Linked DNA regions of Drosophila melanogaster. The protein of the gene in region 2 interacts with the protein of the main gene of each other region in a pairwise test. Each region holds a gene or a part of one and is shown on either strand. Other genes may lie near its edges. The genes, in order: Itgbn and scb.

What was found.
Region 1: the proteins of scb (region 2) and Itgbn interact in binary tests that used the Drosophila melanogaster proteins (3 or more experiments, as listed by UniProt).

What each region holds. Positions count from the first base shown.
Region 1 is NT_033779.5:21,051,238-21,058,752, reverse strand, and holds Itgbn (integrin betanu subunit), read right to left. Parts: upstream 5,721-7,515; 5' UTR 5,620-5,720; coding exon 5,532-5,619; intron 5,469-5,531; coding exon 5,392-5,468; intron 5,296-5,391; coding exon 5,109-5,295; intron 3,760-5,108; coding exon 3,009-3,759; intron 2,951-3,008; coding exon 2,755-2,950; intron 2,649-2,754; coding exon 1,548-2,648; 3' UTR 709-1,547; downstream 1-708. Other genes in the region: CG9265 (uncharacterized protein), read left to right, coding at 278-512; CG42238 (uncharacterized protein), read left to right, coding at 6,894-6,979.
Region 2 is NT_033778.4:15,247,090-15,251,988, reverse strand, and holds the start of scb (scab), read right to left. Parts: upstream 3,206-4,899; 5' UTR 2,694-3,205; coding exon 2,506-2,693; intron 1-2,505. UniProt on the Drosophila melanogaster protein: Integrin alpha-PS3/beta-PS is a receptor for laminin. Also binds to wb. Important during embryogenesis for the development of the trachea, dorsal vessel and salivary gland, as well as for dorsal closure. Required for short-term memory processes.

The DNA.
Region 1 (7,515 bases), on a different chromosome or scaffold from region 2:
CAAATTGCTTTACTTAAGCTACCACTGAGCTATAAATAAATCGTTTATAAAATCTGGTGTAAAAATATACAAAACAAATTTCCATTGTTACCAATATTTTCTTTAGTCGAGCAAAGGAAAAGCCCTAGAGAAGGGTAGGTAGCCCCTACCCCAAATCATAGCGCACCCCGTCCACATGCCTAATGGTCTCGCTTTAATGTGTTTCTCCTAAATAATGCACAATATTTACCTTTGCCTGGGCCCACCTTTACTCACCCACCCTCCTTGTTTTTCGCAGGACCTTCCCCTGGGGCTGCGTGGGTGGCTTGTTGAAGCGCCTGGTGCCCGACGCCTCCCCACACGGCCTGCCCAGCTCCATAGCCGTTCCCACCGTACCGCTGAACTCCAATTCCAAGTTGACGGCCGCCGATATCGCCGCTTTGGATGCTGAGCTAAGTAGCGTTACTCTGCCGGCGAAGCCACCCTCGATGCTCATCCAAAGGACACCGTCGCTGGGGGAGCGAGTCCTTTGAGCGCCCAACACCAAGGGCGCATCATCCACTGCTGTTGTTGTATTTACATTATTCTTTTTCCAACGTGGAGGTACGAGCATGTGTAATTGAATTTCGTGTTTTTGGCGTTTTGGCCGCGAGGAACCAATACTTAGTCTAAGCTACGAATCTAGTGATATTATATTTAGTTAAAGTAGATTGAAGGGGAAAGCGTTTAGCCTTAATTAATCGAATTGTATTTTTGTAATGCCTCTTAAGTTAAGGTAATGTTTTGCATTTCCGATTTGCCAGTAGTCATCTATACTCCCCAAGCGGATTAATGTAAACGATGTCTTAAGCCATTATTTTTGTACTTATATGAATACAATCGCTGAAAGGAGCTGTCCAATACGAAAACTGAAAGCTAACTTTGTTATACGTTTACTCGTTTTTTAGCTGTAATAAATTTTAGCTCATTTAGCGTAGATATACACGAGTTTTTGAACTAATTCATATAATTTCTATGTATAAAAAACAAATTTATGTTCTAAATATATTATATAAAATTATTGATCTTAATAGTGCTATTGTTGTGACCAGTCTTGGAATTGGAATGTTATTTCTGAACGGGGCTAATACTTTTTAATAAACACCTAAAATTTATATTTGTATTAATGTCTTCGTGAACTCGTAATTCTTGAGTTACAATAGCTTAAAAACAAGAGAGAATGCTATAGTCGAGTTAACCGAATATCAGCTATCCATTACTCATCAAGTAAAAATGCGAAGGAGAGATTTTTTGGAATACCGACAGAAAATGGGAACAAAATTAGAAAAAAAAAAAAACAAACGGACGGACGGACAGACAAGGCCAGATCAATTCGGCTATGTATTGTGATCAAGAAAATAAACTAAAACTAAAATATGAACGGAAACGCTTACTTCTACCGGTTACATACTTTTCAACGCGAATCTAGTGTATAATTTCACTCTACGAGTAACGGGTATACACAAATTTTGAAGAAAATTTTAAGTCAAAGTACAATCTAATATCTTAAAAAAAAAACATTTTTCATGTTAACTTGCGAAAGGATTCTCATCATACTTAACACTTAGCGCCTTGGGCACTTCATATCTACCCACTGGATCCCTGTAAATTGGATTCTCCTGTCGGACACTATTCTTCTGATCTTCCTCAAACTTGGCATATTCCCTGGCATCCTTAGCTCGAATGTACCACAGAATTATGAAAATGATCAAAAGTCCAATGAGCAGCGTAAATGCCGATATATATCCCACCAGAGCCACGTAATCCGGGGGCTCGCAATCAACTGCCTGGATGGTCAAGAAGTTTGAGTGGTCGATGACCTGATAGACGAAGAAGCTGTCGCATTGGATGCCATGTTTGTTCACCAGTCGTACCAAGCATTGATCCTGCTCAGGATCCAGCTCGTGGACAAAGTTGTATGGATAGGTTTCTTGTCTATCCAAACTGCTGCATATTTCAGTCAAGTTTTCGCAGACGCCCATTCCCTGTTTTTGCTCGATCAGACATGTGACACAGGGCTCGTAGAACAAACAAAGTTTGTTGTCCTTCTCTGGATCGATTTCACAGAATTTACCCAAATACGGCTCCTCACACTGGCACTCCTCGCACTGGCAGGTGCCTCTTTCCGAGCATATTTCGCCCGTGGGTCCCACACAGGCATCGGTATCCCCATCGCAGTTGCATTTGCTACCCGACCATCCGTATTTGCAAACGCATTGGCCGCAGAAACAATCAGCCAGCTTTTCATCGCAGTCCAGGCATTCGCGACACTCGCAAAAAGGACCCGTATATCCAGGATCACACAAGCAAGTTCCGCAGTCACAGTCCCCGTGATTGGAGCAAACCAATTCGGAGGTGGATTTATCCGAAAACGGTTGACGGCATTTCTGGAGCAGAGCTTCATTGCTGGTGACATTTGTGGCATCTGTGGGACAGTTGCAATAGGTCCCAGTCCACCCCTCATCGCATTCGCACATTCCGCAGTACAAATAGCCCTTATAATCGCACAGGAAACGTCCTTCCTCGTTTTCCGGATCTGGTGTTTCCTGACAGGGACACGGCCGCTGAAGCTCAACATCCAAATCCATGAACTCGCTCAAGGAGGTTTCCTCCACCCGGATTTTGTGTGTCTAAAAGCGAAAGAGAATGAAGTGGTAAGTGAACTGTGCAAACATATATCCAAAAGATTATCCTTGAATTAAATTGTTGTTTTCCACTTAGTATTGTTTGTCTTACATAAACCTGATTATCGGGATATTTCTTGAGAGTGACGTCCACGTAGAAATCAATCTGCTTGCCCAGAGTGACGTTATTGCAGTAATTCCGCTTTTGTAAGCTGGGAAACTGACCACCGCAATCCGTATAGTAAGCCATGTCAATAAAATCCGGGCTGTTATCGGCAAACTGAGTGCGTTTAATCAAACTCTCATAGCTAAAAGGTAGAACTAATGAGATTTAGGATCTAAGAAGAGTACTACCGCCCCACTTACCTCTTTTTGATTAGTTCCAATATATTAGAGGAATCAGCACTTAGGATGTCCACGTAACTAATTTCCTTCATTAGGGCACTGAGTTCCCAATAGCTACTTACAACCTCCTCGGTGACAGCAAAGATTACATTAATCTTGCGACGAAGCAACTCCCGATAGATTTCTTCCAGCGAGGGGTAGTCGTAGTTCAATGAACCCGTGTACTCACCTGCTTTATTCAGGTGACACTGCTTATCATTGCGCTGGATAATACCTGCTAGAAGACCGTCCCCCGCTAAGTGCATAAAGCCATCGGTCACTAAGATCACCACTTTTCGAGCTTGTTCCTTCCAGCCGATTTCCTTGGTGCACACTATAACCTGCATTAGAGCATCCAAGCCACCTTCGAGATTGTCCAAGTTTCCAGTGATTTTGCTGTTCGCCACGGCTGAGGTGAACGCTGGTATATCATCGGTTAGCGAAAGTTGATGTCTATATCCATAGGTTGGTTCACACGTGGCCCGCTCCGCAGCACAGGGGTTTTCCCTATGCTGTGGCAGAATCATGGGTAGAGTTGGCTTGTCCGCGAAAGAACCAAATCCCAATCTGTAGTTTCCTGTTAGATTTTTAAGAGTCTGACTGAGTTGGGCTCCCAACTCCTCCAGGGTTTTCTTGTCATCCCTCATTGTCCAGGTTAGATCCATCAATACGTACAAATCGAGTGGATTGTTGCGTGCAGTTCTATAGCTCAGCTTCATTCTTTGCGTGTTTCCTGTAAGACAAAAAGGAATAAAAGGTAATAGATCGGTTTACTATGCACCTGAAAGGCAACCTTGTTTATGAGCTGTTTTATGGGCTGACACATCTACATAAGCTGAAACCAGTCTGATATATATTCTGCACCCATTTCAGTCTCGCAGTGAGAAAAACTATAGCTTTTTAAATTAAGTATTCACTGAAGTGCATTTTAGGGTGTTACATTTTAAAGCACTCAATTTTATGTCGGCCTTTGAGAAAAAAGTTCTGTTAATATTTAAAATAAATAAATAATTTTTCGTCAAAGATGAAAAGAAATATTGCGTGTCAACTCATTTTCTCTGTGCACTTCACTGCTGCTTTGTAACCATTGATTACCACTTGAGCCAGTTCACACCCAGGATAAATGTTTGGCTTCCTTGTAATCCTTAAGCGTGCAATTAACCGACTTCCCTATACCACTGTTTGTGCTTAATAACTGGTTTTCTTAACCTAGCTAGATTTCTACGCAAGCGATGCTAATGGTTATTAAATTGGTTAACAAGCTCTTGGAGAATCAAAATTATTGACAGACATCAAAATGCGGCTCGATGAAAACAACTTAGCACCATATCAATTGAGATAAACGCAAATGCATTATGGAGACTAAGGAATAAAAGTGCTAGTTGGGTCTGTATGCTAAAAATAACTACCCCAAAATGGGTTAACAACTAAAAATAATAAAATACAATTATAGGTTGTGGTTTTCTGTGATTTAATCTTAGAAGTTAGTGATATATGTAGAAATTAGTTGAGTATTTCCGGATCAAAGCTCCAAAATATTAATGTATGTTTTTTTTTTTTTGAAATTAATCGCGTTTTACTCATTGAAATATTATTCAACCCTCGAGAAAACTTATAAACAACAAAAGCACATTCTTGTGACTCATTTTTGCTCGCTTATTCAGCACGACAACGAATACATAATCTATTAGTTCTGGGATCACAATACTTATAAGGTAAGTATCTCAATACCTATAAAGTGGGTTTTCAATCAGACATTAGATTATAATTATTATAATGTCTTTGGGTCAGTGAACTTTCAAAAGTGTTGGACAAGGACGGCGGAAAGAAAGAGAGGGATAGGTATTCCCACGCTAAATGGTACAACAATAACAAGATGTGACAACCACCAAGGCCTGATAAGCAAAGCACGGACACAAAAACAAAATGTTTAAAAATGATGTGGAGCAAATGTGGAACAAATACGAAGTAGTGGGGAAGAATTGGAAGGGTGACACACATGAAAAAGTGTTGGTAGCCACATGATAAATCAAATTTGATAAGATAAGAAAAGCTAAATAAAACAATTATCCAAACACACACCTTTGACCAACTTAAGGTATGCCCGCTGGGGTGTGACTTGGACAGCCTGATCACTGGTTTCGTAGTCCTTTAGGGGCTTATCCTGAAGGACATCTAGGACCGGCTGGTTCTCGTATATATCCGTTTCACTGCAGTTGTAGTTAAGTAGTTGCCGGCGAGAGAGACAACGATATCCCACCTGGTATTCCTGATATGCAACCAAATAGGAAAATGATTGACTTCGCAAGGATGACAGCAGCAGTAGGAACCGTTTATGTTTTCTTGCCATCTCCCTCGTACTCACCTTGTCCGTGCACCAAGCGCATTCCAGATGAGCGGATAAACATCTTTCGCAGCTGTCTGCGTGCCTGCACTGATCATCTGCGTAAAAGAGATGGCGATAACAAATCCGTTATGTCACGTCAAAGCTGCCGGCTAACAAACCAATTGAATCTGCATCCGAATGAGAGATCTCAGCTATTAGAAAAACCAAATATATCCACAAGAACGCCCTTCCGCCCAGTGACGTCATTTTCAAAATGCGTGCAATTTTCACTACCAACGATCACATATATTTTTTTTGCTAAGGGAGCTAGCGACCGTTCGGCCTTAGAAGTCCAGCGTAACTAATATTTGTTCAGTACGAAAAACGTTGATTGCTCCGCTCGTATCTTATCAGGAGAGAGTGACAAAAAATGTGAGAAGTTATTGGGAAAATGATGTGATTAGAATAAATGGCACTCTTAAAAATAAATGAGAGTAATAAGTGATAATAAAAGAAAGCAAATTTCATTCACGTGTTGTCTAACTCACTACATTTTAAGACATAAAAAATGCACTGCTATCGTTCTTATGTTTTGTTTAAATAAATATTAGTGTTTGGAAAGTATATACATAATATATGTATATTTATTTGGAGATCCATTTCTTTATTTATTTAGATATCATATTTAGTCACAATCAAAACCTTAAAGTATACTTTTATGTCTAGTTGTTTTAAAAATTCCATCCCATTAGAAATATATTATAGACCAGCTCCCATTTAATGGTAGAGAAGGGGTTACATATTTGTACTTTAAATATGTGGAGCCACAAGTTTTGTAGCCGTCAGAGCTTGTAAGGGACCGAAAATACTAAAATAAACCAAGACGAATTCATATGAAAGAGTCTAAAGCAAACAACAACAAACCAACAGCTACACATAAGCAAAACTATACAAATTTAATAAAAAAAATTTTGTTCATTTAGTGCAAGTCTTCTCTTAGAAAAATTTGTATTAAATAACACAATGAATAGGACTATCGGTTGGCATAATGTTAGTCTTGTGTTTTTCAGATTGCTTTTATGATTTTAAACGTAAAATAGAATTTAAATTATTTAATATATAAGTCAGAATAACGATTTTATTAGGAAATTACTGGTCACACTGTTAGGCTCAATTTGTCAAAACTGGTCTTAAGTTAGTGCTCTCTTACTCTCTTCGGGCGGTATAATTCTCCAGCCGAGCCATGGTCTTACTATCCTGTGACCAACCCCGCGGAGAAAAAACATTTTTACCATTATGTTGTTGTCCTCTTCTTTCATTTTATGAAATGGCTGTGTGAACAAGAGATGGATGGCGCAGTAGTGTGACCAAAATCGTGGGTAAAAAGACGCAGCAAAATACTGAAACACTCATGAAACGGCCAGTCGGCGAAAAATTTTCAAATCGCGGGGTCGTACAGCGGACGATTTTCAATCGGAACGGTTCAGCTTTGGAGCGGAGCGCGGAGTTTCGCATTTTTTGTGTTTGTAGCGGAAAATCGGATGAAAAACTCCAAATGTTTACCAAATGAGCGGCGACAAATACGCGACCAATTGACGAGATCGTGTGTGTTTTTCTCAATTAAACGGTGAGTGTGCGATAGAGATGGAGATGTAAAGTATGCAGTCAAATTAAAGTGCGGCAAAAAAATCAAAGGTGAAAAAGTCATTAAAAAAGTAAGCAAAATAGAATTGCTCTGTGGAATATAAAAATGTACATATACACATACATACATAAATAAATATATATATATATATGAATATCTGCAAGGAGACGACGCGCAGCGAAAAAGGAATTTTTTGTGTACTACGGCGGCGCTTTGTTGTTGCTGTTGTTGTAGGCGTCGTGCATTTGCTTTTGTTTTGTGTGTTTGGATGTTGTTGCCTTTGCTTTTGCTTTTGTCTATGCTAATCTGTGTTTTTGTGATTGGAAAAATAAGAAAAGAAAGCAGAAAAACTAAGGAAAGGAAAACAGAAACTGAAATTGAATAAGAAAATTGTCCATTTTGGTTTTCCGTGGCAGAGAAAAGTGAAAAGTTTAATTTACTAAACAAAGCGGCTAAACTGTGTGCGTGTGTGTAGGCGGTTGAGTCTACATGTGTTTGTGTGTGTGTGGCTGTGTCTC
Region 2 (4,899 bases):
TTAGTTTCACCTCGATTGACTTTTTGATTTACTTATCTATACAAGTTTTCCCCCGTTCGAGTCGGTGGCTTAGTCAGTCGGATGAGTCACCATGCATGCACTTATTTCCCGGCCTGATTTCAGGCGTAACTTTATCCGCATCTCGGCGCGAGTCAAATGGTTGGAGCTTAATTGCATGCGAGAAAAAAAAAACGACAGTCTCAAAAAAAGAGTCAACATATTTAAATAGGCGAATAACAAGCACATGCCACTTTGGCTACCTGATCCAGAAATTGTTTATGCTGAATATAAAGTGGTGTGAGGCCTAAAAACAGTCAGCCAACATTTGTTTTGGACTGAACGTTCGGCGTATCTCAGCTGTAATACAAAGTATGGGTTGTCGCTTACGTATTTTCCCAAAACATGAGTCATGGCCAAGTAAACCATGTCTGCACACGCATCTGCCCCCAAGCCCCAACTTTTTCCATGGCCTTTGTGCATAACTACAGCGGTGGTCAATTCAGTGTGAGCAGAAATTAAACAGAAACTTAATAAATTGTATTACAACTGTTAACTTAATTTATTTTAGGAAGATTTGAATGACTTTTTGAAGAACTATATTTTTTTCACCATCTGTTTCACAAAACAGTCACCTTACAATTATAACCTATTAGTTATTAAAAAAATAAACTAACTTAAAGTATTTTAAAATATATTGCAACTTTATATATCTTTGCAAATTGTCTTCTAAAAAATAGTTGTATGGCATACAACAGCATGCTAACATAATTGAAATGTGAAATTTCTTTTAAATAGTATAATTTCGTTTGTAAAAGTACGCTTTTGGTGCGATGGCGCTTTGTTTAAATGCCGAACAAGGAACGTTTATCCGTTTTTGTGCGCGGACAATAAAACATCTTGCGGACCACACAAATCTCCAGCGCCATCTCCATCAGCCAAACAAAAACAAAGAACCGCTGCAGCGTGCGGTCATCAAATGTTAAGAACAAAAGCCACCATGCTGCACCGTTTTCCGTTGTGGAGTCTTCAGTGTTTTTTTTTTGTTTTTGTTATAAGGAATTCGGTTTAATGACCCAGCGTAAGACGGCTAAAAATATTTGTGTGTGGTGTCAGCTGAACGGACGAACTCTTCGGAGGGCGGGGATGCGGATGGGGGCAGGTCTGCAGACGCCATCGCCTCCAAATCGGATTGGAAACATTTGTGACTCATTTCGCCAGAATGCAAGTGGTGTTGGGAAACTGTGAGTGGATGCACTTCCCCCGCATTGGATTCGAATTCAGCCCTAATTTCATTGGGAGACCGTAAACAAGAACTACACTTTTTGTTTGTTTCAGCTAACTTCAATTGATGTGATATAAATTACGGCTTGTCGTGATTTTACGCGCAATTTCCGTACATAATTAGGCGCACTTCGTAATAGCCAAGAGTCATGGGTATTTTGGGATCCAAAGTGCTGGTAATACAAAAAAATGTAGGGGGGGGGGGAAGAGCGGGAACTGTAGAGGAAGTTCCAAATTACCCATCCAGGTTTATGGAAATAAAATATGGTCAAAAGCTAGCTCGTTATGATCGCGTACGAGTACTGCATTCAAACCAGGTTTACTGATCGCCTCAATTAAAACCAGATAAGGTTGTACTGACCAAGTAGTTCTTGTATCTAAGCTGTGGCCTGAATTTTGGCAAATACATAACCTCAACTACTCTAACATAAATTACAAAGCATGAACTATCATCTCTCTTTTTCGTTTAAGAGAGAATACAGAGTAGATATCTCGAGAATATCTTAAAAAGCGTATCTGAGCTTCGATCTGACCACTTTCTTCTTATTCAATTAACTGTGATTTGTGGCGCCGACTGAGGTGTGTGATGTCATTTTTTGGGGCCCGCAAACCAACAAAAGTAGCCGCCATATGATATGTAGGTCGCCCGACTCACTGAAAATTGTTCGGGTTTGTCAATTGTTCGAGACGGAGTTGCGATCTCTCGGATCTGTGGCAATTGTAGTTGAAGTAGACAGTTTCTTTTTTTTTTTGTTATTTTTAGAAAATTCGGTCTGAAGTGGTATTGCTTTCGAGAGGTTTTCAAGCTGGGGTTTTCGACATGCCATGAGAGTTCTGTCCCAAAACTCGAACAACCTATGCTGAGCACCCATTTACGACTTGGCGAAAATGACATTTTAATTTCTTGGCAAATAGAGCGACCGAGTGTTAAGTGCCAATAAACCACCCAAGCCGATACTAATTTTGTCGAGCCTCGACTTCTGTCGATCCCCTTTCGCAAGCTTCAGTTTCCATTTCCGTATGCCAGAAGTTTCAAAATATTGACAGAGGTGTGTTGGCTTGCAACTGAAAGCACTCGCTTGTCTTGCGTCAAACATAAGAAATATGTTGATCGGTTATCGAAATAAGTATGTTTTCGAAGTATGGAAGAATCTCCCTCCAGACCCTTACACGTATGTATGCAAATATTTGCCGCGATCTACAGCTGGAAAATAGGTAACTCACCTGGTCTGGCGGATGACAAGCGTGTATCCAAAGTAGGAGCTGCGAGTCTGGTTTATGTGGAACTTCAGATGCTTCGGGGAGTTTATCACCCGACTGGGTCGCGGCATAAAATTGAATGCTTCGATGTGAGAGATCAGAGCCAAGAGGGCGAGGAATATGTGAGGGAACATTGTCGATTCAGCATTCATTGGAACTCATCAAAATTAAGTTTTCGCATTCGTAATTTCGTAATTTTGGTAATTTCACTTGAATGGACCCCGGCTCTTCTGAGGGCAATAAATCACAATTGCGCCAGAGAGCCACACCACTGAAACAGGATCCGTTGGCACTCACTTATTTATGATTTATTGAATTTAATTGAAGCACTCACACACTCGAGATCGCTGCTGTATGGCGGCGGCGTTCTCTCGAAATTATATTAATTTAATTAAGCCCAGCCGGCGGCTTTCGCAAATCTCTCGCGAGATCTAGGTGGCAAACTTGTTTTGGCTCTTGTCACTTTTGCCGGCGACAAGTCGTTGTTAATCGCACTACTCGACCGCGCCGTATCTCTGCACTGATGTGTAGCTAATAGCTAATAAATAGCATATAGCATATAGCCTATAGCATATATGGTGTTTTATTTCCGCAACGCTAGTCCATAAACGGGGCAACAGATCAGTGCTGGACGTTTTCACTCTTCGACGACCCGAACCGAAATGAAATGAATTCAAGTGCTGCAGCAGACTTGGACGACCGTCGATTCTGCTGGCCGATGTGTCCACCCAACACGATGGTCGAAAGAGATGTTCTGACCTGCTGTAGTGTGTGTTTACAAACATGGTTGCGCTGAGATTTCTGATGATCATTGATAATAACAATAAAACTTTAAGGTTTTCAAATATATTTTTTTAGTATCTAATATATTGTTATAAGAACTATCTATATATAGTCTATTAGTGCTTTATATTTTATACCTACACTTGATTTTGTTTAACAATACTATGGTATATCTAGTACCGGTTTTTGTCAGTGCATTCTCAATTCGATTGCGACCATTTGTGGTGGTGGCTCTCCTTGTTCGCACGCTACTTGCATTTACACTCCCCCTACGCGTTTGCTGCACCCTCGCACACACACAAACGAACGCACACACACAAATAAACGCACACCCAAGTGCGAGAGTACAAGTAAGTGGGTAAAAAAGCAAACGCCTGTCACCATGGAGTTCCAACTGGGAGCCGTATTTTCTTATTAATACTCATTGAAGGAATCCCGACTTTATATATATGGAAACAGGCCAGCTTATTTGTTCCTCATCATCTGGTAGATTTGGTTATAATTAATATTTACAATGTTTTAAGGCTCATCAAGATCTGCACACTGAGAGAAAGGAAATTGTTTTTATGGAAATGTACTTGTTAGTTCGTAGTTATTGCACTTATTCCTAATTTATTTCTTATGTATTATACTTAAAAGATAAGTAATGTTTATTCTTTATTTAGTTCTACTTTTAAATAATCTACATTCGTATTTTAAAATATTTTCTCCGAGTGATTCCTTTTCGGGATGTGGATGAGTGCCAGTGGAAACGGAGAGCATATGGCGGACATAAAGGATGCCGATCACGATTCCCAGGCAAATGGCCACCCGAATTGAACGGCGTACTGCTGTCATTGAACTTGGCTGCCGTGGCATGGTGATCAAATGGCTTATCAGCGGGCCCCAGGGCAAATATTTATTGTAAGTATAAAGTAGTATATGCCCCTCGTGCTGCCTTATCCGTTCAACGTTTATCATTGGGGTAGGTTGGGTGGTGGTGACCACAATTTATTAACTTTACGATCCGGTGACATGAAATTGTGCCCAGCACGGGGGGTTCAGTGGTTCAGGGGTTCAATTAGATCGACAGGGGTGTACTCTAGTTGACTTTTCCTCCAGCTATCGGTTGCCTCAAGCTGATAAGTTGGAAAACCGCGCTTAGATCGCTGGCTGTTTGTGCGCCCAGTAATTGATTTTCATTTTCAACGCAGCCTGAGCCCGCCGTTTATCAAGTCAATGTAAAACAATAAAAACTAATAAAACAAAAGTGGGGTCTGAGGTCTGGCAAGTCGTTTCCACCGATAAGCGAAACTACAACAGCCGATTACGCGCCATAAAACTCAATTCACAAGTCGAATGCTCCCAATACGATTCATAAATAAAATTCTCTTTAAAAGTTCGAAAGTTGAATGTTTGCCAGCGATTCATTCGGGTAAACAAAAGAAGTTCAAAAGGGCGGCTAATTCGGTTTTCCAACGCCGCATAGCAAGTGTTTTTTTGGACCAGGCCGCTATTGAAATGCGCAATTAAGCGCCCGCCAGGCGATTTGACAGCAATTATGTGTTACTGCACGCCAGCAGCAACAACAGCGAT